Linked DNA regions of Ovis aries. The protein of the gene in region 4 binds, or shares a complex with, the protein of the main gene of each other region. Links are inferred from orthologs where the notes say so. Each region holds a gene or a part of one and is shown on either strand. Other genes may lie near its edges. The genes, in order: SF3B3, SF3A2, SF3A3, HTATSF1, DDX46, SF3B2 and SF3B4.

Region 1 (3,500 bases), on a different chromosome or scaffold from region 4:
AACAGTGATATATTTTCATTTCCTAAAAGTTAGGTTGGCTTAGGAAATTTGGTGCATTATGCTTGTCAAAGGTCTCTTTATTATCTTGTCAGTAATTTTGCTTGCCATTAGCCTGTAGAGTTCAGTCTTGGAAACTCAAGTTGAGAAATTTTTGCTCGTCGATGATAGAGTGAGAGGAAGCAAAAAAGAACTTATTTAGCAAGCCCCCTTTCTTCTCCAGGCTCGGGAGTTGGGGACGGGGTGGCGTGGTCTGTGACCTCTCCCTGTCTTCAATCCTGTAGTCGGGACAGCTGAACGAGTACACGGAGCGGAAGGAGATGTCGGCGGATGTGGTGTGCATGAGCCTGGCCAATGTGCCCCCTGGGGAGCAGCGGTCTCGCTTTCTGGCTGTGGGGCTGGTGGACAACACTGTCAGGATCATCTCCTTGGACCCCTCGGTGAGTGTCACCCTCCATTTCAAGGATCTTCCAGTTGGAACCTGAGCACCCGGCCCATTCTTGATGTCCCTCTCTGAGATCAGCTGGGCTGGGCCCTGAATCTAGACTTCTGCTGCTTCTGATTATTGTAGCAGCACACCTCATGAATCGCCTGCAGTGCTTTAAAAGGACTGATCCAAGACTACTAAATGTGTCTTTGGCTTAAGTCCTGATTCCCTTTTTTAGTTTAAACGAACGAAAACAAAATCCAAGACTGTGTTTACAGAAAAGAGCCTTAGATGACTCTAAAGAGGTACCCTTTGCTTATTTAGTTTTACCATTCTCCACTTCTACAAAAAAGAGAAAGCCCAATCCTCTCCAGAGCTTGTTTTAAGGTTTAGTTCTCTAGTGACCCCGTACCTGTTGAGAACTCATTCTTCAGGTTTTCCATGTCCATGAAAAAGAGCTGTTCTTCACTTCTAAGAATTAGATTTTTCTGGGTAGGTTTTTTTCCAGAGTTGGTCACTTGCCGTATTCTGTTTTCTCTTTCCACTTTAGGACTGTTTACAGCCTTTGAGCATGCAGGCTCTCCCGGCCCAGCCCGAGTCCTTGTGTATTGTGGAAATGGGTGGGACCGAGAAGCAGGATGAGCTGGGGGAGAGAGGCTCTATTGGCTTCTTGTACCTGAATATTGGACTCCAGGTAAGAGGTCCAGAAACCCTCACTCCTGGGGTCAGGGCGTCTTTTCTCCATGGCTGCTTTGTGTAACGCAGGTGTTTTCTGTGCCTGTGTGTTAGTTACCCGCCTTGTGAGAAGGGATCAGTTTTGCTCTCTGTTCCACTTGTTTTAGCTCTAATTTAGAAGAAATCAGGGCTGGAAAAAAGTATTTTCTAGAGTCTGATAAAACTGCTTAGCAGTGACTGTTTTGGGACAGAGCTATATTGCCTCTGGTTTCCACAGTTTGCAGTTGTGAGACTGTAATCCAGTTGTCCCTCAGTGTCCTTGGGGTTGGTTCCAGGATCTCTCTTGGATACCAAAATCAGAAGATACTCAAGTCCCTTATATAAGATGGCATAATGTTTGTATTTTTTCGTAACCTTTAATTAAATCATCTCTAGATTACTTAATTGCCTAATACAAGGTAAATGCTGTATAAATAGTTGCTGTACATGTGCAGCCAATTCAAGTTTAGTTTTTTGGCATTTTCTGCTTTTGTTCCCCCTGAAATATTTTTGATCTGTGGTTGGTTGAATTGTGGATTCGAAATCCAAGGATACAGAGGGCCTCACAGTTCATGATGGGCTCCGTTAGCAGTAAAGGGCTCCTCGGTGTACCCTGTTGTCAAAGCACCTAGGCTCTTCATGGCATGAAAGGCAGGAACCCAAGAATCAGAGAGTATCAGGGGTTTTGACCATATCCTTTTTTTTTTTTTTCGCCTAGCCCAGGAGACTGTTTGGTTTTTAATTTTACTTCCTAATTTAGAAATTCTCAAACATGCCCAGGAGTTAGACTAACGAAATGCACCTCCATGCACCCATCACCAGTTACCAGCATTTTGCCTTTCCCTTCTCTTCTCTTTAAGGCAGATCCAATTTAGTGTCATCTATAAGGGCTTGAGAACGTAGCTATAACAGAGGAGTGCGTGTGTGTGTGTTTTGAAGCTCTAATATTATGGTTAACAGAATGTAAGTTCCTTAGTATCATCTGATACCCCCATATTCTCATTTTCTCCCTTTTTTATCCTGTTCTGGAAAAAGTTTTTACTTTTGGTTCTACTCAGAATGCATAAAACTGTCCAGTTTTTATCTGCTTAATCTTCTCACATTATTTTATTTCATTATTTATTTGACTGTGTCAGGCCTTAGTTGAAGCATGTGGGATCTTGTTCCCTGATCAGGGATTGAAACCGGGCCCCCTGCGTCAGGAGCACAGTCTCAGCCACTGGACCACCAGGAAGCCCTCACATTTCTTTTAATAACTGTCTCAACTTGTTAAAAAGAAACCAGATCATTGTTCTTGGGGACCTTCCTACTTCCCATCCTGCGCCTGTGCTGGCCTCCCAGAAAATCACAGCGCGATTCTTCCTCATCCCCAGGGCGGAGCGTGTGTTCCTGATTCTGGATGGTGCATCCAGTTTACTGCCTCTGCTGTGGGGGCTGCATCACAGCCTTCAAACCTGAGTTCTTGGATAAACACTTCACTTTTCCCCCTTTGTTCACTATTTTTAGAGTAAGAGGTTGGTGCCATCGCAGTCTCCAGTGAAGACTGCTGAAATGCTTTTTATTTTAATTTTAGATAACATTTGCAGGTTTTTATATTTACATCAGACTATCACAGTCTTTCTTTTAGAAGCTAAGTTGCCACAATATAGAAAAGTGGGAATTTTCCTTCTGAAGTTGCCTCCTTTGTCCATTTAACAGGTGCCTACTATCTTTGGGGGCTTCCTCCTAGCACAAGAAAGTACTCCACACACATCTAGAACATTTTTGCTTCAGACTGGAATAAGGCATTTCTCTCAGGAATCTTTTATTTTTTTAAGGGAAGTGGTATTTAGAGACCACAATAGGCATGGGTATGTTAAACTGTACATGTATCTTAAAATTGTAAAGGGTCTAACATAAAGGGTAAAAAATTTTAAGGATATACGGTAAAAGGAAACTGCTTTTCACTTAGTAAATGCTCAGTAACTATTTGAGTGAGTGGTTTAGGAAAATGAATGAATGGCTGGCTGATGACTATATATTTAAACCGCCCAGTCATTTTCTTCCAACTGAAATAGGGTAGCTAAAGAAGCTTCCATTATGGGTAGGCCTTAACCACCTCTCTCATTTTTATTAGAATGGTGTGTTGCTGAGAACTGTCCTGGACCCTGTCACTGGGGACCTGTCTGACACCCGCACTAGGTACCTGGGGTCCCGTCCTGTGAAACTGTTTCGTGTCCGGATGCAAGGCCAGGAGGCAGTAAGTAATGAAAGGGGCAGAATGTGTGTGTGGATATTAGTGGCATCAGCTGAGCCCTGTGGTGTAAATCTTGCTGTCAGTAATTCACCAGTGTTGTAGTTAGTTAGTTGGACATTAGCTTTA
Region 2 (3,105 bases), on a different chromosome or scaffold from region 4:
GGTAATTGTCGATGCCCTGGGTGGGCAGTCCCTCACCCACCTCCAGCTTCACCAGTGGCCTCAGCTTCCATTAGAGGCTTCCTGCCCTGAGGGCGGGGGCCTTAGTGTCTCCTCTGCTCTTTATACTCCTAGCAGAGGTGGGTGCGAGGGTGGGAGGGGACTGCAGGCCCTGGTGTAGTCCTTTCCTCTGACCTTAGAACTGGGTGCTGGTGCCTTTTCACATGGAGAGAGAGTAAAGGAAAGAGGAGGCTTACCTGGGCCAGCAGCTGCAGAGGATCGGGTTGCCAGGGAGGAGGGGAAGGCAGGCCTCCTTGCAGGTGTTCTTGCTGAAGTGGGCACACCCTGTGTATGACTGGCGTTTCAGACAAGACATGGCTTGGGAAGGCCCTGGAGTGGTCCAGCTTGGTGAGCCAGGGCGAGGATGGCACTACCCCCAGGGAGGCCACCACAGGCCTTTTGGTCAGTCTGGGTCATCTGGCCTCTTCCTGGCTGTGTCAGGGAGACACTAAGTGCCTGAGGGCGCATATGAAGGGCCCCGGAGCTGTGTGGAGAGCAGCCCAAAGCCACAGAGCTAGACTGTGATGGGCACCCGCTCCCAGAAGGTCTGGTGGAGGAGGGTGGGCAGTGGGGAGCCCACCCTCTGCCCCCACCCAAGTGATATCAGGCAGGTGGCACCTGGGGCACAGCCCTCCCACCCTTGGGCCAATGACTGCTAGTTGCCCAGCAGGGTGACCTCCCCCCACTTGCCAAGCCAGCTCTCCCATTCGTGGGTGACATTAGGCCAGTCCTAGGACCCCGTTACTGGACCTGACATCCTCCTGTGTTGCAGTAACCAAGCAGAGAGATACAGAGATGGGCCAGCAGAGCCTCCTTTTCCAGGTGAGCAAAGGCCGGGAACCCTTTGTCCTGAGGGGAGGGGCCCCTGAGAGGCAGTGCTGTCACTGGCCGTGTCCCTGCAGATCGACTACCCTGAGATTGCCGAGGGCATCATGCCCCGACACCGCTTCATGTCTGCCTACGAGCAGAGGATCGAGCCCCCGGACCGGCGCTGGCAGTACCTACTCATGGCCGCTGAGCCCTATGAGACCATCGCCTTCAAGGTAGTTTGCTGGGACCCCGGAGGGTCCTGCAGGGTCTGCTCCATCCAAGCAGCTGGCCCCAGCCCACACCAGGCGCCCCCTCTGGGCCCTTGCCTCCTGAGGGTTGTCAGAAGACGATGCAGAGTGAGGGCAGGGGCTGGGTGTCCACCGTGAATCAGACCCTGGCATGGCCCTAGCAGTGAGGTGGCCCTGTTACCAGGCTGTGCAGGACTCTGACCTGGTCCAATTCTCAGATACATGTTAACGAGACAGGGTAGGTTGCAGCTTCCCTGGGTGGCAGGGCTGCTAAGCAGTGGAGCAAGAATGCCAGCTGTCACCCCCACGTCAGACCCTGTTCCCTCATAGAAGGGCCTCCTGGGCCAGGCCATTTCATGGTCCTGAGGGCCTGTCTGCCCCTCTACCCCGCACAGGTGCCAAGCAGGGAAATAGACAAGGCTGAAGGCAAGTTCTGGACTCACTGGAACCGGGAAACCAAGCAAGTGAGTCAGTCCATGTCCATGCAGTTCCCCATCCTTCTCCCACCCCAAGGCCTCTGGGACCCTACTCAGTTTTTCCTGTCTGTCCAGTTTTTCCTCCAGTTCCACTTCAAGATGGAGAAGCCACCAGCCCCACCGAGCCTTCCTGCTGGGCCTCCTGGGGTGAAACGGCCCCCACCCCCACTGATGAACGGCCTGCCCCCTCGCCCGCCACTACCAGAGTCGCTGCCTCCGCCCCCACCAGGAGGCCTGCCCCTGCCACCGATGCCGCCCAGTGGGCCTGCACCCTCAGGGCCCCCAGGCCCTCCTCAGCTGCCCCCACCGGCTCCTGGGGTCCACCCACCAGCACCGGTGGTCCACCCACCAGCCTCTGGGGTGCATCCCCCTGCTCCTGGGGTCCATCCCCCAGCTCCTGGGGTCCACCCCCCGGCACCAGTGGTTCACCCACCAGCATCTGGGGTCCACCCCCCTGCTCCAGGGGTCCACCCTCCAGCCCCAGGAGTCCACCCTCCTGCTCCGGGAGTCCACCCTCCAGCCCCAGGGGTCCATCCTCCCCCATCTGCTGGTGTTCACCCCCAGGCACCAGTGGTGCACCCACCAGCTCCTGCAGTTCACCCCCAGGCTCCGGGGGTGCACCCGACTCCTGCCGTTCACCCCCAGGCTCCAGGGGTCCACCCACCAGCTCCTGGGGTCCACCCACCAGCCCCTGGGATCCACCCCCAGCCTCCTGGGGTCCACCCCCCTCCTCCTGGGGTCCATCCTCCGGCTCCTGGGGTCCATCCTCAGCCACCTGGGGTGCACCCCTCAAATCCTGGGGTGCACCCCCCAACGCCCATGCCCCCGATGCTGAGGCCTCCACTGCCCTCCGAAGGCCCTGGGAACATTCCTCCCCCTCCCCCCACCAACTGAAAAGCCACCCCCATCCTAGCAAGTCTGGTTTGGTTTTCCTGGGTTTCGCCCTCAGAGTAGAGTTCTTTTGTACTGGGCTGGGTGTCCTCAGAGCTCATTAAAGAGTCTGCTGACCCTGAACTGGACTGCTGTGTTAACCTGTGGGCGGTCAGCTTGCTGTGGGTGAACACACGTGACTGCTTTCCACCACCATAGGGGGTGTCAGGGTCCCACCTGGACCACAGGGGGTGGCCCCTGCTGTCTCTGCAAGGACAGACCCTGTGGGCCAGCAGAATGTGGGGTGGTTCTCTGGGAAGACAGCAGAGCGAAGAAGGCTGCTCACTCTCCTTGGGGGTCTCTGTGGGCCTCAGAGGTAGGGTGAGCGAGCACGTGGGGTCACTGGGGGACAGACCTGCCTACCCGATGTGAAGCGTCATCCCCCTTGGGGCTGGCACCTGAATCCTCCTGGGGCAGGGGCTCCACACCTTGCCCTCCAACACCCCCAGGTTGTTGATAGTCTGACTGTCTGGGGCATGCACTCCTGCTCACATTCCTGCTCTGGGGAGGGGAAAGATTTGTCAAGGACAGTCTGACAAATGGGTCACAGGCCACACACACTGTATCACTGCTCAGGAGATAGA
Region 3 (4,215 bases), on a different chromosome or scaffold from region 4:
TTACATATCATAAAATTCATTCGAGTGTACAATTCAGTTGAGTTTAGCAAATTTAATAGATTTTTGCAACTATCACCACAATTCAATTTTAGAATTTTGCTACTGCTACTGCTGCTGCTGCTAAGTCACTTCAGTCGTGTCCGACCCTGTGCAACGCCATAGACAGCAGCCTCCCAGGCTCCTCTGTCCCTGGGACTCTCCAGGCAAGAGTACTGGAGTGGGTTGCCATTTCCTTTTCCAAGAATTTTTCTATCACCTCCAAAAGATTGCTTTTGCATTTCCTTCCCATCTCACCTCTAGCAGCAGGCAACCACTCACCTACTTTCTGTCTCTGTAGATTTGCCATCTGGACGTCCACTAATGTGTGTGTGTGTGTGTGTGTTGTTGTTTTTTTCTGCGTGTCTGCTTTCTTTCACATAACATGATGCTTTCATGGTTCATCCATATTGTAACACTCCTTTATTGCTGAATAATGTTCCATTGTATGGATACACCATATTTGGTTTGTATATTTACCAGTTAATGACTGGGGGTAGCAGCTTTGTTGATAATGAATAGTGCTGCTATGCATGTCTGCACATATGGACATAGGTTTTCATTTCTCCAGCTAGATGTGGGCATATAGACTTGTTTCGGTTTTTTTTTTTCCAGTTATATAATATTTTACTGCTTGAATGCACTATATTTTATTTAACCAGTCCCTTGGGTTTCCCAGGTGGCACTAGTGGTAAAGAACCTGTCTGCTAATGCAGGAGACATAAGAGATGTGGGTTTGTTCCCTGGATGGGGAAGATCCCCTGGAGGAGGGGATGGAGACCCACTCCAGTATTCTTGCCTGAAGAACCTCTTGGACAGAGGACCCTGGCGGGTTATGGTCCATAGGGTCGCAAGGAATCGAACATGATTGAAGCGACTTAGCACGCACGCAGCACTGCTGATAGACAATTAGGTTGTTTCCACATAACAAAAGAGAGGAAGGGAAGGAGAAAGAAAAGAATAAATGAAAGGAAAAAAACCCGCGATCATTCCCATTTTACTGAGGGAAAAACGTTGTCACAGGTCACACTGAGCTGGAGACTCAAGTTCCGGTTCATCAGCTCCCATACGTGCGCGTCAGCTACTCAGTCCAGGTCCCTACCAGCACGGCCGCACAGCTAGGGAAGTCCCCGCCGGCCAGGTCAGATTCCTTAACGCCAGGCTGATGGATTTCTGTGTGCCCCCTAGAGGCACCTGCAAATCGTTCGGTATCGCGCCACACACCTCCGGCCAGCAGGGGGCACTGCAGCAGTCTCCATAGCACGGACTGGGTCTTTAGCGGTGCTCACTTTTCCTCGAGTCCCCGAGGAACTTCCGGCAACCGCGGAACTTTGGTGCCTCCGGACTCGTAACTTGCGGACGCGGGCGCGCAAGGCGGCAGGGGTTGTTTCCGGTCGTGTTGGTGGACTGGCTTGAGCTGGGGCGGCAGCGACTGCGGCGGCGGGGGAGGAGAAGGAGGAGGGAAGATGGAAACGATTCTGGAGCAGCAGCGGCGCTATCATGAGGAGAAGGAACGGCTTATGGATGTCATGGCCAAAGAGATGCTCACTAAGAAGTCCACGGTGAGTGGACCTAGGCAGGGGCTACCGTAAGGCCGGGCCCCCGGCCCGGGTTTAACCTCAGAGTTTTTTTCAGCCCTCAGACCCGCCCCGCCCCGAGCCCTTCGGGGGATTCCCTCCCCGAGCTCAGGCCTAGGTAACCTTTCCCCGGGGCCCAGCGCCCAGAGGCCTCTCTGCTTGGGCTGCTAAGACCCGAGCAGGTAAGCTCCGCCCTCGGGCGGCCTTCCCAACTCCAGAATTCCGACTAACGGCGTATATGTCACCGTTTGCCTTTTTTCAGCTCCGGGACCAGATCAATTCTGACCACCGCACGCGGGCCATGCAAGATGTGAGTGTCCCGCTGTCCGCTTCTCTTTGGGCACGGTAGACTGGAAGAGGAGGGAGGGGGTGCGGGAAAAAGGTAGCCGATTGGCCAGTCGAGGAGTTTGTATGCCTGCCGAATGTACGCGCCGAAAGCAACCCTGAGGATGTTTAACCACCCTTACTCCCTTCTCCGAATGGAGTACTCTTACTCATTTTTAATTACTAGAGAAGATCCCCTTTACAGCATCCTGTGTCCCATGGATGTGCAAAGAGTAGTTATGAGGTGTCAATGCCTCAGGCTTAGAAGGTACTCTCCTTCTCCCCCATAGAAAAAAAAATAAAGACCCTAATCAGAGTTTCTGAATTAGGATAGATAAATATTACTAGCCCCTAATCCCTTATTTAGATTCCCAAATCCAAAGTATTCTGAAAACAAAAGATGTTTTAATTTGTTTTGGAAATTATTTGGTGGCAAAAATCTGACTTGATCTGATCAGATGAGAGGTTTTTTATGGTCTTTATCCCATTCAATAAATAACATAACTTTCACTGCAGAACTAATTAATGTGTTTTCCAGATCCCACTAGGGATATTTCATGTAGTACCTTCCTGAATTCCAAATTCAGAAGCAAATCTGGTTCCAAAAGTTTTGGAGAATGGGCTATGTACTTGTGCCATCCTGAATTTGAATCCAGAGGAAGCTGTGTGGTGTTTTACTTAGCCTGAGCATTCCTTAGTCAAGCCTTTTGAAATAGTGGAAGTCAACTTGGACTACCCTTTTATCTTTGAGAGTCTTTGATGGGAACTGCTGTTTTCCAAAGGGTGACTCTCACATGGCTCTCTTTTACAATACAATACTTCTACTGTTGTTTAGTTGTTAAGTCATGTCCGACTCTTGCAACCCAATGGACTGTAGCTTATCAGGCTCCTCTGTCCATGGGATTTCCCAGTCAAGAATGCTAGAGTGGATTACCTTTTCCTTCTCCCGACCCAGGGATCCAACCCACGTCTTGTGCATTGGCAGGCAGATTCTTTACCACTGACCCATCAGGGAAGCCCATGACTCTTCTAGGGAAAGTTAAATATGGGAACTCTGCCACCCCTCAAAACACATTTCTTAGGTAATCTTCAGAGTGACCTGTTTTAAAAATTAGCTAGGAGCCAGTGTTGTCTGTTAAGGGTACCAGAAAGCATAAGAACTTTTAACACCACATGTCTTGAAGTTTTCCTGAGATTTGACTAGAGAGCCCTTGTTGGTTGCTTGGGTCTCAGTTGTACGGGCGGATTGCTTCATTCTAATGGATTTGTGTTTGCCTTTCAGAGGTATATGGAAGTCAGTGGGAATCTGAGGGATTTGTATGACGACAAGGATGGGTAAGTCACAGTCACATTCAGTCCAGCAATTACTGCTTTTGAGGGGCCATGGTTAAAGGACTGACTTTGTGCTCCATGTTTTCTGGATTTTTTTCTGAAATTGCAGCTTACGAAAAGAGGAGCTCAATGCCATTTCAGGACCCAATGAGTTTGCTGAATTCTATAATAGACTCAAACAAATAAAGGAATTCCACCGGAAGCACCCAAATGAGGTATGACCTTGCAAAGTTTTTTCTCCAGTCCTGTCCAAAGAGTATACAAAGGACATGTGTTAGGAAAATGGAGATGGTCATTCAGATGTCCTTTCAAAAAGGAACTTACCAGTTAGCAATAAGCAGCGTAGTTAGGTGACATCCTGCAACTGCGAGTTCTTTCAGAATTTCCCTCAGCTTTAAGCTAAAGCCATTCTCTTCTAGGGCTTCCCAGGTGGCTCTCATGGTAAAGAAGCTGCCTGCTAATTCCCTGGTGGTTCAGTGGTAAAGACTGCCTGCACTGCAGCAGTTGCAGGTCCAGTCCTTGGGTCTGGAAGATCCCCTGGAGGAGGACATGTCAACCCACTCCAGTATTCTTGCTTGGGAAATCCCATGGACAGAGGAGCTCGGCGGGCTGCAGTCCATAGGGTCGTAAAGAGAGTTGGGCACGACTGAAGCGACAGAGCACACATATTCCTGGGCAGCCCCTAACCAGCGACTGAACACAGTGTGGGGGAGGGGTATCACAGCCTGGTTATTTCTGCCCACTGTGAGACTTTCAGTGAGATTTTCTCATATCTACATCATGGTCTAGGCTCTCTCTGCTCCATCCCTCCATCCTGCTCGCTCTCTCCTTTCTTTTTTTTTTTTGGTGGCCACACCTCATAGTTCATGAGTTCTTAGTTCCCCAAACAAGGATCAGAACCGTGTCCCCTGCATTGGAAGCATGGAGTCTTAACCACTGGACCACC
Region 4 (4,017 bases):
GCTACAAGCATGTTTCGCTCCCAACTCCACTATAGTGGTGACTCAATGACCCTCTATCACTGCCTCAGCTTCTCCTCTCACCCATACGGAACTTGGCCACAGAAGACTACTCTGCCCATGCCCACATTTCCTACTCGTCCCTCTTTCTGGGAGAGGCTTACTGGCTCAGTGAGTCAAACTCAGTCTAGAATGCGGGGCTACCCTACCAAGTCACCTCACAGGCCTCCAACTGGGTCACACAGGAGCTAAACATCAACTTTTGGCCACCTGCTCGGAAGGGCCTGTGGATACAGCAGGCGCTCAGAGTCACGTGCAGCAGGACTGCTTAGTATACCTATGAACTGCTTAGTTCACCTATGCTGTGAACCTATTCAGGAATGAAATGGAAGCTCAATAACATATTGCTGAAAACAGCTGAATACTATTTTTGGATCCTAAAAGAAATATTTAGCAAAACGTATATGAGCCCAATAAAACTCGTTATCTACACTATAAATATGCATGTAAGTTCTATCACATGCACTTTTTTCCTAAAACATCAAAAAACGACGTTAGTGGGGCAGTAAAGGTGGTGTGTACACTGGATGTTACAGTTTCAGATTTGTAGCTTGAGCAAGTCTGAAATTTGGAGAACAAGGGACAGGCAACTGTTGCCTTTCCTTTCCAGAGTCATCTCCAGCCTGAGGAAGGTACCAGAAAGAAAAGGACGGAGCAGAGACTTGGAGAGAAGGTTGGTCCTTCCACTCACCATTCGTTCGTTCATTCATTCACTCACCACACACGCACTATACATCAGACCCTGTACTACCAGCTCGGGCTAACCCGGCTCTCCTAGGGAAGTCTTCACGAAACAAGTGAAAGACTCGTTTCCCACGCGGAGGAGGGGCCTCTGGGAGAAGGAGGCGCATCTTTCTGTCGCAGCGCGTCCTGTCCCGCCTGTCCCGTCCACTCCCCCAAGATGGCGGCCGCCTCGACGCCTGCTCCGGCGCCGGCCGAGTGGGAATCTTCCCACGCCTTTGGGCTACCGCCCCGCTGCGGACCCCGCGGAGCCCAACGTTCCCAAGAGGCCGTAGGCCCTGCGCTCCCCGCGGCCCCCGCGCCAGGACAGCCCTGCTGAGCATCTCCGCTCGGCAGCAGCGCAGCTCCCGGAGCCCCGCCCCCGGGGCCCCACGCCTCTGGCCCGTGTCGGCTCCTACTGACGCCACTGGGGGCGTGCCGGTGCGCCCCGCGACGACGCGACGCGCCAACAATGGCGACTTCGTCATCCTGAGCGGGCCTCGGTTTCCAAGTGGTTTCCAGACGTTGACGCGGGAGCCGCAGTTGCCTCAGACCCGGTCGGCGGCGGCGGCGGCGGCGCGCGTGCGCGCTCCCGCCTCGACCCGGATCGGGCAGCGGCGGCGAGGCCCGGCGGGGCGAATCAGGTGGGCGGTGGCGCGGCGGGGCCGGGACCTGCGACGCGCGCGCGCGCGCGGCGGGCGGGCAGCGGGCGGAGCGGGGGGCGGTGCGGCCGCCGAGTGGCCCTGACTTCCCGGGGGCTGCTGGGGCGCCGCGGGGAGGCGGGCCGGGGGGCGGTGGGGAGCGAGCTGAGTGTGGCCAACCTCCTTTTCTCTGTTCCCCTCCAGCATCAGCTCGGCCTCTTCGCTCGACCGGACCTTGCCTCTAGGCTAAGTGGGCAACATGAGCGGCAACAACTTGGATGCGAATGACGAGTTTGATGAGCAGTTGCGAATGCAAGAATTGTACGGAGACACCAAGGACGACGACACCGAGAAAGATCCCGGTGGAGAAACCGATTCTTTCGGGCAGCAGCCGACTGACACCCCGTACGAGTGGGACCTAGACAAGAAGGCTTGGTTCCCCAAGGTAAGAGTCGCCCGGGCGCCGCTGCACAGCGGGCCCACCTGGCCAGCCTCGCGGGGCGCTCCTTTCACGTTTTCTTTGCTGAGGTCCTGGGTTAGAGCCCCTCTGGTTGTGACGTTTCTTTTTGTTGTGTCTGTGGCAGAACCGACGTGTAAAGGAACGGAAATCTTTAGGAAGATGTCTTCAATGTAATTTAATTCTTAAGTCCTTTTTATGCCTTATTAATTTTATCTATGAAGGTTGCAGTTGGTTTATGTCAGTGACTGCTTTTTATTGCAAAGAGAAAAACATCAAGAGCAAATTCAATGGATGTTAATCTCAAGGCAGTCTCAATCTTATCCTAGGAATTCAGATGGTTAACTGATGTGCTAGGTGCAAAATGCAACTTCTTGAGTTGAAAAAAATTGATAAATTGGTAAATTTTTACTGATTAAAGGTTGCATCTTTTTTTTTCTTTCCTACTAAAGTTGGTCCTAGACACGTATATTTGAACCATATCACTACAGGAATATGACAGGAGGAGCACAGAATTTGGATGGAAAGGATCTGTGCCTATTTATTTAGAGTACCTGTAAATTTTTAAGCATTCAGTTTCAGCTTGGAAGTAAAATGACGGATGTTAAACTTGGTTCTGTAAACTTTTTGGTCAGAGTACCCTGTTAATCAAAGTCTTGTGGTACAGGTGGAAAAAAAAGGATACTTATCGCACACTAATAGATTTGCAAGCCAGTGATGCAAACCGTGTCTGCATTGTGTAATTTGAGTGTTATTTTTTAAATTATTTATTTAAACTGTTTTCTTTCCCAATTTTTATTTGTGTGTATGTTCCAATCCCTCTAAATTGTTAAACTTAACATTTCACTTGGGTACTGGTGGTGCCAGCTAGAGTGCAGATTTGGTTTCTTCAGCCTTCTGAGTACTTCAACAGTCGTCTGATAGTATAGTAATTTTTGGCTCTATCTTTTTATGTTATGGAACCCATACCACTTCAAACTTCCAAGTTCAAAATTTTCCTCATTCCTATGTGTGCCTCACATTGACTGGTAGGAAGATATAACTACATTTGTTTCATTGTACAATTGTTCTTTTCTCTAAGAGCCAGGAGGATGGATGTGAGTTGGATTTGTTCTTGATTTGTTTTGACATTAAATGATAATGTGATTTGAGTACATATCCTTATGTTCATCTGTATAGTAAAAGAAAATTTGATTCTGTTGTTAGATTATTAGTTGACTGTTGGTTTTTATTCTGTTTATTGTTATCTGGTACTTCCTTTGCTATATATACTTGTAGTCTTCGTCAAGTAGACTACAGAGATAGTAATTTACAAATGAAACAACTAGGAAAGGTGCCAACATCACTTAAAATGCCTTTAATAGTATCTCAGACTTTTGTGTTGATAATCCAAGTACCCATGTCTTAATTTTTTTATTCTCTTGCACAGTTTTCTATGTAGGTGACTGTTCTTCATATATGCTTTAATTACTGTTATCCACAGAAACACTCAAATGTGACATTGTATAACTGAATATACTGTTATTTAATACAGTGTAAACTTTTCACAGTAGGAAATCATTTTTTAATGTGTGTGTGTGTGTGCACTAAACTTCTTATTTAGATCACTGAAGATTTCATTGCTACATATCAGGCCAATTATGGCTTTTCTAACGATGGCGCATCGAGTTCTACTGCAAGTATCCAAGATGTCAGTGCCAGGCCTGCAGAAGAACCTCCGCAAAGACAACCCCCTGAACCCAGTGATCTGAAAAAGAAGGGAGAAAAGAGAAAGGCTGAATCAGGCAAGTAGATTTAGCTTGCAAAACATGAGTATAAAAGTTAAAAATATGAGTATGTGTATATGTATTTACTTTTTGGAGAATTATAACTTTGACAGAATCATAAGATGGGTATTTTTAATTATTATTATTTTTATTGGGGTTCATGTGTTGGCTCTCCCACTAACCTATAGGCATCAAGCAGATTGTTTCAATTCAGTTCAGTTCTCAGTTTCTTCCTTTCCAAAACAGAATTCTTATTAGAAGATTATTTAAAGTTCTGTTTATATGGTTGGTTTGGGTTTTTTTTGGTTTTTTTTTTGGTACTTCCAGTTAAGTTAAACAAGTCAATTTTGCTTCAGCTTGGCCAGATCTGACAGTA
Region 5 (3,500 bases), on a different chromosome or scaffold from region 4:
CCAAGTCTTTGTTCCTCAAAAGTATCATTACAGAGAAAGAGATAAATCAGAGTAAAAATATCTGCCACTCATATAACAAATGACAATTATATGGAACATTTAAAAACAAAAACTTCTATAAATCAATTTTTTAAAAAGAAAAACCAATAGGAAAATGAGAAAAAGGTTTAAACATGTATTTTTTAAAACATGTACTTTAGAAGAAGAAATCTGAATGACCAAAAAACATACGGAAAGGTGTTTAACTTCACCAGTAATCAAAGAAATGCAAATTAATACCATAATGATATTTTTATTACATGTCTATCAAATAAAAATTTAAAGGAATGACAATACCTAATACTGGGTATGAAGGGACACAATTCTCATATACTGCTGGAAGTGTAATTAGTATATACTCCTTGGAAAGCATTTGGGATTACTTAGTTAAAGTGAAGCTATGTTTATTCTATGACAATGTAACTTCATTCCTAGCTATACACCTAAGGGAAACGCATACATGTGTATATGCTACTATGCTTAATCGCTCAGTGGTGTCCAACTCCGGAACTCGGGTCTCCTGCAATGCAGGTGGATTATTCACTGAGCCGCCACGGAAGCCCATACCCATGGATACTAGGATATATATATACAAAGATGGTCATAACAGCCTCAGAGGTAACACAACTCAAACATCCAGCTCAGCAGAATGGATAAATAAAGCGGAATATTTATATTACGGGGCTTCCAAGATGGCTCAGTGGGAAAGAATCCACCTGCCCATGCAGGAGACCCAAGAGATCTGGCTTCCATCCCCAGTTCAGGAAGATCCCCTGGAGGAGGAAACAGCAACCTGTTTCAGTATTCTTTCCCGGAAACTTCCATGGACAGAGGAGCCTGGCAGGCTACAATCCATGGGGTCCCAAAGAGTCAGACACAACTGAGCACACATATTTACACCACAGGATAGTGGTTCAGCAATAAAATAAACTAATGTTATGAGCGGAGAAGGCAACGGCAACCCACTCCAGTACTCTTGCCTGGAAAATCCCATGGACGGAGGAGCGTGATAGGCTGCAGTCCATGGGGTCACTAAGAGTCGGACACGACTAAGCGACTTCACTTTCACTTTTCACTTTCATGCGTTGGAGAAGGAAATGGCAACCCACTCCAGGCTTCTTGCGTGGAGAACCCCAGGGACAGGGGAGCCTGGTGGGCTGCCGTCTATGGGGTCACACAGAGTCGGACACGACTGAAGAGACTTAGCAGTAGCAGCAGCAGCAGCAGCAATGTTATGAGCAACAGAGCAAACTCCCAAGGTTTACCAAAAACACAGAAGACATGACTCATTCACATAAAATTAAAAAACAATAAACCTGAATTATTCTTTTTCCATTTATAAAGAAACAATTAGGACATTACTAACACCAAAGTCAGCAATGATTTTATCTAGACAAATAGAAAGCTGGGTTAGCAAAGGGACATGCAGGGCTTCCAGTGGGATACAGATAATGTTCTATTTCTTAACTTTGGTGGTGGTTACATGAATCTTGCTTTATACTTTTTCAATAAACTGCATGTTTGTATTTCATTCATTTCTCTGAATTTATATTTTAAATTTAAAATTATCCCAATGGGCATTATAACACTGACCTGATAAAACAAAAGTACAATTTATAAAGTAAATAAATGAGGAAAAATCTTCATAACCAATACAAAAAAAACAAAAACAAAGCTATATATGCCAGGACACCACTTTAGAAACACTAATAGGCAAAGAACAAAGCATTAACAAGAGAAATATAGAGTAAACATATTATGTCTAATAGATATAATTAATATCTCAAAATTGAATGGTACTAACATCTTAAGGAAACATGCAGATTTAACTTACACAAGCAAAGTTCACCCATTATGAATAGCAGTTCAGCAATGTAAAAATGTTATTTGTCAATCAACAGTAGAAACACTAAGAAAATAACTTCAAAGAAAAAAAACATAGTTCCCACAAAGATGTATATAAAATGTACTTCTGATCATTAACAGTAGGTATTAAATGAAGGAATAATGCATTATGAGTGTTAAAACTAACAGAATTTAGGTATCTTCTAAAAGCACTACAAGCTTTATAACTTACTGAAATGAAATTAAGCTAACAGCTCACGGTAGCAGCCAAATTCAGTATTTACAAGGATTTTTTTTTTTTAATGTAGGGAAGAGAGTTCCCAACCCGCATGATAGATACAGCCAATGGTAACATTACCTATTCTCAGCTTTCTTGCTTTTATTGCCAGGACTGGAAGACCGGGATCTTCGGCCTCGGCTTCTACTCCTTGAACGTCTCCTGTCCCGACTTCGAGATCTTCTTCGTTCTCGACTTCTATCTCTCTCTCTACTTCTGGAACGCCTGCAATGGGGACACATTTCATTTATTCTATGACCAAGTAGAACTTCTATTTCAGATCATGGTTTGTGCCTCATGTTGAAAGAAGCTTCTGAATTATTACCACTGTTAAAGACAAGATTTCAATTTACTATCAAATCAGTTTAACAGGGAACAAGTTAAGCCAGTTCTTACAAGCGGTCAATGGGGAAAATAAGGATACTAATTTCGAAACGATGTTTGTTGAGAAACAGAGGAAATATGTACTAATAGCTATTCGAAATCTATGACCTAGAGCAAAAAAATCTAAACTTCAAAGACAGCTAAAACCTCAGTGTAAGGATGGGCAGAACGGGGCTGTAGAAAGATTACAGATACAAAAATTAGGAGATAAGAATTTCTATCCTGGTGCTGCTACTAGCTAGCGACATACACAGGGCAGATCAACTCTCTGGGTCTGTTTCCTTAATCTATATAATGCAGAGACATCACCAAATAATCTCAAAATCCTTCTTGCTCTAAAATCTTGTAATTTTATTTTCACATCAAAAAAAGACCAAAAAAAAAAAAGTAAGAGACCAAATCTTATATGATGCTTAATAAGTACTTGACTGTACTGTATGAAACTGTTCCTGAGGCCACATAGTATAAAACTGAGTAAGTTAATACTATCCACATTGTTATGGGTGAATATTTTCTCTAAGAACCAGTATCTCAAAAAGATAAACTCAAAGTTCTTTCTGAGATCAGTTCACAGCACCTGTATAACCGTGTCTTCTTTCCTATTTTAAAGAGAAACTTTATTAGAAAACTTTCTTTGGCATGTGAGAGTATTTTTATTTAAAGACTGTTTTTCACCAACAGGGAAGTTACAGATGCTTGGGTGGTACCAAGGAATATTTAATCAAGCACAAGTTTTTAAAACCTAACATGTTCTTTGGTTAAATCTAAAAAAATTCTTTAAAATCATTTCAAACAAGAAGCAGACATGGCTCCATTCTGTTCTTCCTTCTCCAGTCAGCACTAGTGGTGGCTCTGAACACATGGATCGGCTTTCTTGGGATAGGATTAGATTAGAACCCCCTCAATGGCATGCTACCTCAACTTTTACTTCTTTTTTTTAAACCTTTCCTGGGGG
Region 6 (4,061 bases), on a different chromosome or scaffold from region 4:
CACACATACATGCACACTGGCTGCGACCTGGCTGTCTGTGAGACAGCAGCACTAGAATGGGAACGGGATCTCAGAGCTGGAGGCAGAGGTGGGAAGATGAACTGAACTGACTGATCAGGACAGGGAGAAGCAGAAGGGGGCAAGCAAGGGCCACCTGCCCATCCCTCCCTCAGGGGCACAGGCCGCTGGTGGGGTAGGAGAGCACCAGACAGGGTCTGCTGCGCCAGTAAGCTGGTGGGGATGAGGGAAGAAAAGGTCCTGAGTTTATTTTCTTTCTTTTTCGGCCTTGCGGTGCGGCTTGTGGGATCTTAGTTACCTGACCGCGGATGGAACCCGGGTTTCCCCAGGGAAAGCACTGAGTTCGACCCACTGGACCACCAGGGAATTCCCCTGCGTTTATTTTCAAGACTAAAAAAGGATCCAAATCTTGTCGCTTAAGACTGCTTTTTTTTTTTTTTTTTCCCCCTTTCAGTAATAATTCATTGAGCACTTCTAACGCCAGGTACTGTGAGACCGTAAAAACTCATGTCTTGGGAGTTGTAAGTGCAGAAAAGGGCAAGAAAGATTTCAAAACAAATGGTAGAGGTTTGGCCGCTCCAGAGCAGGAAAGGCGGGAGACAGTTTAACGTAGATGACATTTGAGACGGCCAGGAAGGTGGAAAAAGGGGCTTTAGTGTGGCCCTTCCCCCAGGTCGGCAGCTGGATCTCAGCCCGGAGGGCCGGCTTCGTTCCCGTCTCCGATCTCCTTTCAGCCCATTCATCCATGCCTGGGCCGGGGATGGGCGGGCAGACAATCAGACACTGTTTTATCACAGGCATCGGCGGCAAACTCCCGCTTGGCGCCCACAGCGCGCGACCGCCGGGGGAACGAGTCCCTGGAGAACGTGAGCGTCCAGGCCTCTCAAGTCCAACCAGGGAGTAGCGCCGCAAGGCGGGAGGTCTGCGCTGAGGCCAGTGAGATGCAGAAAGCACGCCCTTCGGGCAGGACCTGCTTTCCCCACAGCCCCGCCCCGGCTCTGGCCTCCAGAGTTCCCCGCGTCGCGGCCGGCCGCGATCCTCCCGGATTTGAATCCGCAGAGATCGTGACCTGTGCACTACAACTCCCAGAAGGCTTCGCGACCAGGCGGCCTAAGGAGCATTGGAGAACGGTAGGGGGTGGGCCCTGATGGGAACTGCCTGGCAACCCTCGAGCGGACGTGGCGTATCGCCCTACCGGAAGTTCCGGGAAGTGGGTCCGGAGGCTGGTCCGAGCTTCCGGGTTGGTCGCGCGCCTTCCTGCGGCTAAGATGGCGGCCGAGCATCCGGAGCCTCCTAAGGGAGAGTTGCAGCTGCCGCCGCCGCCGCCTCCTGGACACTATGGTGCCTGGGCTGCCCAGGAGCTTCAGGCCAAATTAGCAGAGATCGGAGCTCCCATCCAGGGTGAGGAGCATGGGAAGTCAAGGGCAGGAAAGTGCAGGCCTGCGGGGAAGCGGAGCTGGTTACCCCGGAGACCCGGGGGCGGGGGTTAGAGGCTGGCCGCGGTGGCCTGACTTGGGCAGGCTGGCCTGCTCGACCTGACCTACCCCGTTGATCCTGTGCTTTGCTTAGCAGGGAGTCGCGAGGAGCTTGTGGAGCGATTGCAGGCTTACACTCGCCAAGTAAGTGTTGGTGGCGGGACATGAGGATAGGCCGAGCGTTTGCAGGAGGCATTAATGACCCGTTACAACTCGGTCTTCGTTGTTTACGAATCTCGGTACAGCAAGTGGGGTCTTGGCTGCTTCGTATCTGCTGTGTTATAATTGCTTTTGTATATATCGTTTCTTCCCAGAGCCCATTCCGAGCTCTGGCAGACAGTCACTGGGTAAATTTTGTTGAATAGACGAGAGCGAACGCTGTTTCATGCACCAGCTCCTTTTAGACTGCCCTAGATTCTTTTCACTTTCACAGACTGGCATCGTCCTGAATCGTCCCGTTCTGAGAGGTGAAGATGGGGACAAAGCTGCTCCTCCTCCTATGTCAGCACAGGTAAGAAGACTGTCTCACTTGATAAGATTCTTTTCTACTCAGAGTAGCTCCTCCTCTGAGCGTACAGGGGGATACACGTAGCCCACTGGGCAGGGAGGTACACTGATGAAAGAACTGGGAACTCTTCAGTTCTTCCTTCGTCCAGATTCTTACTTCCTTTCTCAGTGTCAGTTCCTCCAAATTTCATGTGTCATTTAAGATTCAGCTTAAATATCTGGAAACCTGACATAATCCTTCCCCAGCTGGAAGTAATCACTCTCTTCTCTGCCCTCCCTGTGCAGAGTTCCCATGTTATTCAATGAGAAATTAGGGCTTACTCTCTGATTTAATTTCATACCTTCTATATTTAATCAGTCATTGGGGCACACTGGGTCTTATTTATTTAAATACTCTCAATTTCCATGTCTTTTCTGATCCAGGATTTGATAGTTTTTCTGTAGAGCAGTGGCCCTGACTTGGGGTCCAGGGACTTCTATGTGTGGCATAAGAAGGTTTTTATTTTTTGAGGGGTTGAGGAGTTTTTCAGAAGGCCTTTAGAGGTGTCCGTGAGTCTCCTGAAATTGTATGTGAAGTCTGTGTTCATGATGTTCTTCTGGGACAGAGTTGACAGCTTTCATCAGTTGGTGGCACAAAGTTAAAATGCTCTTCTTTCGATACTGCCGTAGAGTATTCTTTCTTTTTTCCTTTATGTCTTTGGCTGCTCTGGGTCTTCATTGCTGTGTGCAGGCCCTTTCCAGTTGAAGCGAGCACAGGACTACTGTCTAGTTGTGTTGTGCGGCCATCCCATCGCAGTGGCCTCTGGTTGCGGAGCACGGGCTCCAGGGTATACGGGTTTCAGCAGCTGCAGCACACGCGGCACATGGGCTTAGTTGCCCCGCAGCACGTGGAATCTTCCTAGAGCAGGGCTCGAACCCATGTGCCTTGCGTTGAGCGGATTCTTAAACATTGGACCTTCAGGGAAGCCCTGCATTTTCTTGAATGCAAGAATTGTGCATCATTTGACTTTGAATCCCAGTGCCAGCCTTATATTAGTTCCCCAGCAAATGCCTGCCATTACATAAATGCTTCATAGTTAATGGCCTTTTTTTCCCCCCACAGCTCTCGGGGATTCCCATGCCGCCCCCACCCATGGGTCTCCCTCCTCTACAACCCCCTCCACCACCCCCACCACCCCCACCTGGCCTTGGCCTTGGCTTTCCTATGGCAGTTGGACCCCGCCCGCCAAACTTGGGGCCTCCTCCTCCTCTCCGGGTGGGTGAGCCCGTGGCGCTGTCTGAGGAAGAGCGGCTGAAGCTGGCGCAGCAGCAGGCGGCATTGCTGATGCAGCAGGAGGAGCGTGCCAAGCAGGTAGGGCAGGTGGCAGCCTGAGCCTGGGTCTCACCAGGGTCCTGAAAAGGGAGTAGGGCCTCCAGGGGAGCCGGATCCTGGGGCCAAGGCTTCTGGGAAGGTCTGGACCCAAGTCTTCAGGGCCTCGGCTGGAAGAGCAGACCAGGAAGCAGAGCTGTGGTAGACTGGCCGGTGGGGTGTGGGTACTGGAATGAGCTCGTTTTCTTTCTTAAGCAGGGAGATCATTCACTGAAGGAACATGAGCTTTTGGAGCAGCAGAAGCGGGTAATGCCTCCCTCTTCCTAACCTTTGACCTCCATGGTCTAATCCATCGTCTGTCACTTCTAGTGCTTACTGTCTAAAATTAGCCGTGCCATTCAGGTTTCCCATGGAGATTACCTCATCCTCATCTAAATTCCATTATCTCCCAAATAATTCTTTCTTTCACATAGCCAAGGAATTGGTAATCTGTGGACTATAGCCTGTTTTTGTATGGCCTGTGATGTAAGGATGGTTTTTATATATTTGAAGGGTTGTTTCGGGGAGATGGGGGAAAGGAATTTACAACAGTCTACAAACAACCCAGAAAGCCTAAAATATTTACTGACTGGCCCATTACAGAAGAAATTTCCTGACCCCTACTGGGCTTTCCCAATGGCTCAGTGGGTAAAGAGTCTGCCTGCAGGAGACAGGAGATGTGGGTTTAATCCCTGGGTTGGGAAGATCCCCTG
Region 7 (4,236 bases), on a different chromosome or scaffold from region 4:
TAAGGAAATGGACACCACGAATATCTCCCGAGGATCACTCCAAGAAAAGAAACCCAAATACCATTCTCTCCCAATCCCGTTGAAATTGCTGGCTTTCTCATGGGCAGGGCAGAGGGTGGTCTGGGGTGAGGGAGAGTTTTGTCTAATCCTTCGGTTTTTCTTATCTGGTCTTGCTGCCTCAGCTTTCATAAACAAGATCACTGACCTGAGTTTCTATTGAGGATGAGTGGTGCTAACCTTATCCAACTCTTATCCTGCCTTGTTTGGTTTAAACAGTTCTTATCATTTGAAGAATTAAGAAACAACAACAATCCAGAAGACTGCCTCTCTTTTTCAGGGCAATTCCATGTCTTTGGGATGGAAATTTTGGATATTGCGCTGGTAAATTGTGATAATCAGATATACTGTTTATCAGTGCCAACAAGATGGCCTACAGACCTCCTTCTCACCTCCTCTTGCTGCTTAATTCCAATTTCTATTTCTTCCCTTATAGTTTTCTATGGGTATGGAATATACACAGGACACCCTATCTCTTCCAATTATATATTTTCATTGTGACATTTCTATTTAAGGAGTTCATTAAAGCACAATATTTATACACGCCGCTGGCATTGTTTGTGTCTGATTAAAGGAACCTTAGGTAAGGGAGTGGTGGGAGAGGAGGGAAAGGAATGTGACCCACGAAGGGACGGTACCGACCATATTACTGCTAAGGAAGTAAGGGGCTGGGCTGCGTGAGGCGCTGCAGGATTCACAATTTAAGGTCCTCTCTTCCGTGTAGACAGGGCAAAGGCACGCCCAGAGGTTGCTGGAGTTCAGGGTGTGCTCTGAAGGCCTCGGCCTCGGCCTCGGCCTCGGCCTCTGGGCTTCAGTATCAAACCCCCGTAAACTTCGGTACCACCCCACCTCCGAACCTCAGGTTCCCCTCCTATGCAGTGACTAGGCGAGCTCAGACATTCCACAATTCCTTCCCTGAGGAAAAAGGAAATACCTCAAGCTCAGGCCTGGGCTGTGAGGCCGCGTCTGTTCAAGGACTGCGGGTTGGGATGGACGGTTCTCCCCACGCCTTGCGTTGAGCGGTTCCTCTGTACACCCTTCTAAGGGGGAAAAAAAGGCTACAAAACACATGAAAACTAAAGTTTTGTTCTCCCAGCTTCTGAAGTGACAGTTTCGGGAGCAGTGTGACCCTTTAACTTCTAGCACTGCCTTAAAAGAGACAGAACGTTTCCTTTTCACTTTCCCCGCCGCGTCCGCTCATAGTAGCACTTCTGCACGGGAGCGTGGACCGAAGCGCACCGCTACTTCAGCCGCTTCCAGTCTCAGCGTCTCCTAAGATGGCCGAGGCCGCTTCCGGCTCCTCCCCTGCCGCGGCCCCGCCCACCACCTCACGTCAGCCTTCGCCTCGGAAGCGGAAGTAGTGACTGAGGTCAGGGGGCGGGATCGCTGCCTGGAGACGGCGGGAGCGCTTTCGCCATGGCTGCCGGGCCGATCTCCGAGCGAAACCAGGGTGACTGGAGGGGACAGACCCAGAATGGACTCTGGGGGTTTGAGGGACCTCGACTAGGCCCAGCAATGTTTCCGCTGGGGCGGGAGATTTTGCCTTTCCGAAGGGCGCCAGACTGGTCCCGATGCCTTATGGGGACGGGATGGACAGACTTGAGGCCTATAGTTGTGATGCTGTGTCCAGTCCTCTGCTGCCTTCCCACTCAAAAAAAAAAAAAAGAAAAAGAAAAGTTACAGAGTGAACTTGCACCGTCACTCTAAATTAGACATAAGATTGTCTATTTTCTGGAAAGGAGGAGCTTCTAAAAGCTTAATCTAACATCTTTTTGTTTTTTCGCTTTTCTACCCCATCTCCACGTCCACTTCCTCCGCCTGGGTTCCATCTTCATGTTCCCGTTACCTCCCTATTTCCCCTCATCTCTGTCCTTACCTCTTAATCCTGTCTTCCAGATGCCACTGTGTACGTGGGGGGCCTCGATGAGAAGGTTAGCGAACCACTGCTGTGGGAACTATTTCTCCAGGCAGGACCAGTAGTGAACACGCACATGCCAAAGGATAGAGTCACTGGTCAGCACCAAGGTGAGTACACGGCAAAAAGTACAGTTATCTATGAAAGGGACAGACTGCTCCTGGAGGTCTCCAGTGATATTAAGTTTTGGAGTGAGCAAACTAAAGATTTTGTTTCTGGAACCATTCTCAATTGAAGTTGGGATTATTATTTCTTATCCTTTGTGCTTTAGAAGACAAATGAGTTATAAACTCGTTTTTAAATCACTTCAGTTGCTAACCTCTTCTTTTCCACTTCCCCAGGCTATGGCTTTGTGGAATTCTTGAGTGAGGAAGATGCTGACTATGCCATTAAGATCATGAACATGATCAAACTCTATGGGAAGCCAATACGGGTGAACAAGGCATCAGCTCACAACAAAAACCTGGATGTGGGGGCCAACATTTTTATTGGGAACCTGGACCCGGAGATTGATGAGAAGTTGCTTTATGATACTTTTAGCGCCTTTGGGGTCATCTTACAAACCCCCAAGATTATGCGGGACCCTGACACAGGCAACTCCAAAGGTTATGCCTTTATTAATTTTGCTTCATTTGATGCTTCGGATGCAGCGATTGAGGCCATGAATGGGCAGTACCTCTGTAACCGCCCAATCACTGTGTCCTACGCATTCAAGAAGGACTCCAAGGGTGAGCGCCATGGCTCAGCCGCTGAAAGACTTCTGGCAGCACAGAACCCACTCTCCCAGGCTGACCGCCCTCATCAGCTATTTGCAGATGCACCCCCTCCACCATCTGCTCCCAATCCTGTGGTATCATCATTGGGATCTGGGCTTCCTCCACCAGGTAAAGCTTTTGATAAAAAATGTTTGTGTTGGGTTGGGAAGGGTGGGGCCAGGAAGAAGGAAAAATAACCTGGCAAGGAGAGGACATTGAGTCATTAGGTGATGAGAAAGGGGTTGAGGGATGATGATTGTGGTGGGAAGAAAGTTGTTGAGTTTTCTCCAGAAGGTTGTTGTTCAAGTCACTTAATGTTGCCGCTGACTTCAGAGAGCTGGGAGGAGGGGAAAAGAGCTCATTCGGCCTGGAGAGGCCAGGGTGGAACAGGCTCTCTAAAGGCACTCTCTGCTCACTATCATTAACTGTTTTTCCATTTTCTCTATAGGCATGCCTCCTCCTGGCTCCTTCCCACCTCCAGTACCACCTCCTGGAGCCCTTCCTCCTGGGATACCCCCAGCCATGCCACCACCACCTATGCCTCCTGGGGCTGGAGGACATGGTCCCCCATCAGCGGGAACCCCAGGGGCTGGACATCCTGGACACGGACACTCACATCCTCACCCATTCCCACCTGGTGGGATGCCCCATCCAGGTGAGCGTTCTTTGCTGGGAAGGAGAGGGATGAGCTTGATGGAGGAGCTCTGTCAGCACTTAATGCTGCTGTTCTTTGTCCTTTAACAATAATAGATAGTGCCCAAGCTCTCCTTTCTTTCAGACATTCTTTTAGGAAAAAAATGCAAGATACTTTACCGTTTATTTTAACAACCATCATGCTGTCTTCATTTCTTGTTTAAGTTTTACCAAAGAGAACAACAGGCTCTCTGCATTGGTTCTTTACCACTAGCGCCACCTGGGAAGCCCAGGCTCTCCTATCCTCATTATTTCACACCTAATTTATTTTAGTAATACCCTAACTGACACTTTGACTCTAATTATCTCTACTTTGATTGACTATCTCAGAGTAATTTTTCTTAAATACAGATATTCACACACCTTTGCTCAAAATTCTTCTGGTTGTTCCTTTTTACTTACAGAGTGAAACCCAAACTCGCTATCATAGCATTCTAGGCTTTGCATAATCTGGCTCCTGCCTGTTACTCCCATGACTACAAGCTGTTCTACTGGGTTTCCTTTAACATACTGTGCTGTTGATCACATCCATGCTTTGCACCTGCTGATTTTTTTCTGCCTGGAATGTTCTTTTCCCACTCTGTTGTCCACCTGAAAAATTCCTGTTCATCCTTTAGAATTAGATCTTTGCTGTGACAGTGTCTCTGTTATCTTCCCAGATTCTATTCAGTAGAATAATCACGCCATTCTGCAGCACTGTTACAATGCCTAAATCATGGAAGGAGCAAATGGGCTTCAGGGACTGGGGAGCTGTAGGGTAGTTGGTTGATTTATTCTCTTGGGATGGAGTCAAAGATAAGGGCACTTTTTACCAGC

The links.
Region 1: HTATSF1 (region 4) and SF3B3 share a complex: the UniProt entries of both Homo sapiens proteins name them as parts of the 17S U2 SnRNP complex. The link is inferred for Ovis aries from reciprocal best matches to the Homo sapiens genes HTATSF1 and SF3B3.
Region 2: HTATSF1 (region 4) and SF3A2 share a complex: the UniProt entries of both Homo sapiens proteins name them as parts of the 17S U2 SnRNP complex. The link is inferred for Ovis aries from reciprocal best matches to the Homo sapiens genes HTATSF1 and SF3A2.
Region 3: HTATSF1 (region 4) and SF3A3 share a complex: the UniProt entries of both Homo sapiens proteins name them as parts of the 17S U2 SnRNP complex. The link is inferred for Ovis aries from reciprocal best matches to the Homo sapiens genes HTATSF1 and SF3A3.
Region 5: HTATSF1 (region 4) and DDX46 share a complex: the UniProt entries of both Homo sapiens proteins name them as parts of the 17S U2 SnRNP complex. The link is inferred for Ovis aries from reciprocal best matches to the Homo sapiens genes HTATSF1 and DDX46.
Region 6: HTATSF1 (region 4) and SF3B2 share a complex: the UniProt entries of both Homo sapiens proteins name them as parts of the 17S U2 SnRNP complex. The link is inferred for Ovis aries from reciprocal best matches to the Homo sapiens genes HTATSF1 and SF3B2.
Region 7: HTATSF1 (region 4) and SF3B4 share a complex: the UniProt entries of both Homo sapiens proteins name them as parts of the 17S U2 SnRNP complex. The link is inferred for Ovis aries from reciprocal best matches to the Homo sapiens genes HTATSF1 and SF3B4.

Annotation. Positions count from the first base shown.
Region 1 is NC_056067.1:1,088,206-1,091,705, reverse strand, and holds part of SF3B3 (splicing factor 3B subunit 3), read left to right. Parts: intron 1-281; coding exon 282-437; intron 438-974; coding exon 975-1,118; intron 1,119-3,254; coding exon 3,255-3,377; intron 3,378-3,500. UniProt on the Homo sapiens protein: Component of the 17S U2 SnRNP complex of the spliceosome, a large ribonucleoprotein complex that removes introns from transcribed pre-mRNAs.
Region 2 is NC_056058.1:19,189,566-19,192,670, forward strand, and holds the end of SF3A2 (splicing factor 3A subunit 2), read left to right. Parts: coding exon 1-1; intron 2-829; coding exon 830-879; intron 880-959; coding exon 960-1,100; intron 1,101-1,510; coding exon 1,511-1,579; intron 1,580-1,666; coding exon 1,667-2,485; 3' UTR 2,486-2,605; downstream 2,606-3,105. UniProt on the Homo sapiens protein: Component of the 17S U2 SnRNP complex of the spliceosome, a large ribonucleoprotein complex that removes introns from transcribed pre-mRNAs.
Region 3 is NC_056054.1:12,733,427-12,737,641, reverse strand, and holds the start of SF3A3 (splicing factor 3A subunit 3), read left to right. Parts: upstream 1-1,415; 5' UTR 1,416-1,502; coding exon 1,503-1,598; intron 1,599-1,875; coding exon 1,876-1,923; intron 1,924-3,219; coding exon 3,220-3,272; intron 3,273-3,378; coding exon 3,379-3,484; intron 3,485-4,215. UniProt on the Homo sapiens protein: Component of the 17S U2 SnRNP complex of the spliceosome, a large ribonucleoprotein complex that removes introns from transcribed pre-mRNAs.
Region 4 is NC_056080.1:98,729,608-98,733,624, reverse strand, and holds the start of HTATSF1 (HIV Tat-specific factor 1), read left to right. Parts: upstream 1-1,217; 5' UTR 1,218-1,421; intron 1,422-1,622; 5' UTR 1,623-1,677; coding exon 1,678-1,863; intron 1,864-3,478; coding exon 3,479-3,659; intron 3,660-4,017. UniProt on the Homo sapiens protein: Component of the 17S U2 SnRNP complex of the spliceosome, a large ribonucleoprotein complex that removes introns from transcribed pre-mRNAs.
Region 5 is NC_056058.1:43,891,725-43,895,224, reverse strand, and holds part of DDX46 (probable ATP-dependent RNA helicase DDX46), read right to left. Parts: intron 2,387-3,500; coding exon 2,243-2,386; intron 1-2,242. UniProt on the Homo sapiens protein: Component of the 17S U2 SnRNP complex of the spliceosome, a large ribonucleoprotein complex that removes introns from transcribed pre-mRNAs.
Region 6 is NC_056074.1:40,571,895-40,575,955, forward strand, and holds the start of SF3B2 (splicing factor 3B subunit 2), read left to right. Parts: upstream 1-1,261; 5' UTR 1,262-1,286; coding exon 1,287-1,419; intron 1,420-1,587; coding exon 1,588-1,637; intron 1,638-1,926; coding exon 1,927-2,004; intron 2,005-3,102; coding exon 3,103-3,351; intron 3,352-3,564; coding exon 3,565-3,615; intron 3,616-4,061. UniProt on the Homo sapiens protein: Component of the 17S U2 SnRNP complex of the spliceosome, a large ribonucleoprotein complex that removes introns from transcribed pre-mRNAs.
Region 7 is NC_056054.1:100,033,289-100,037,524, reverse strand, and holds the start of SF3B4 (splicing factor 3B subunit 4), read left to right. Parts: upstream 1-1,436; 5' UTR 1,437-1,473; coding exon 1,474-1,507; intron 1,508-1,953; coding exon 1,954-2,082; intron 2,083-2,313; coding exon 2,314-2,856; intron 2,857-3,175; coding exon 3,176-3,382; intron 3,383-4,236. UniProt on the Homo sapiens protein: Component of the 17S U2 SnRNP complex of the spliceosome, a large ribonucleoprotein complex that removes introns from transcribed pre-mRNAs.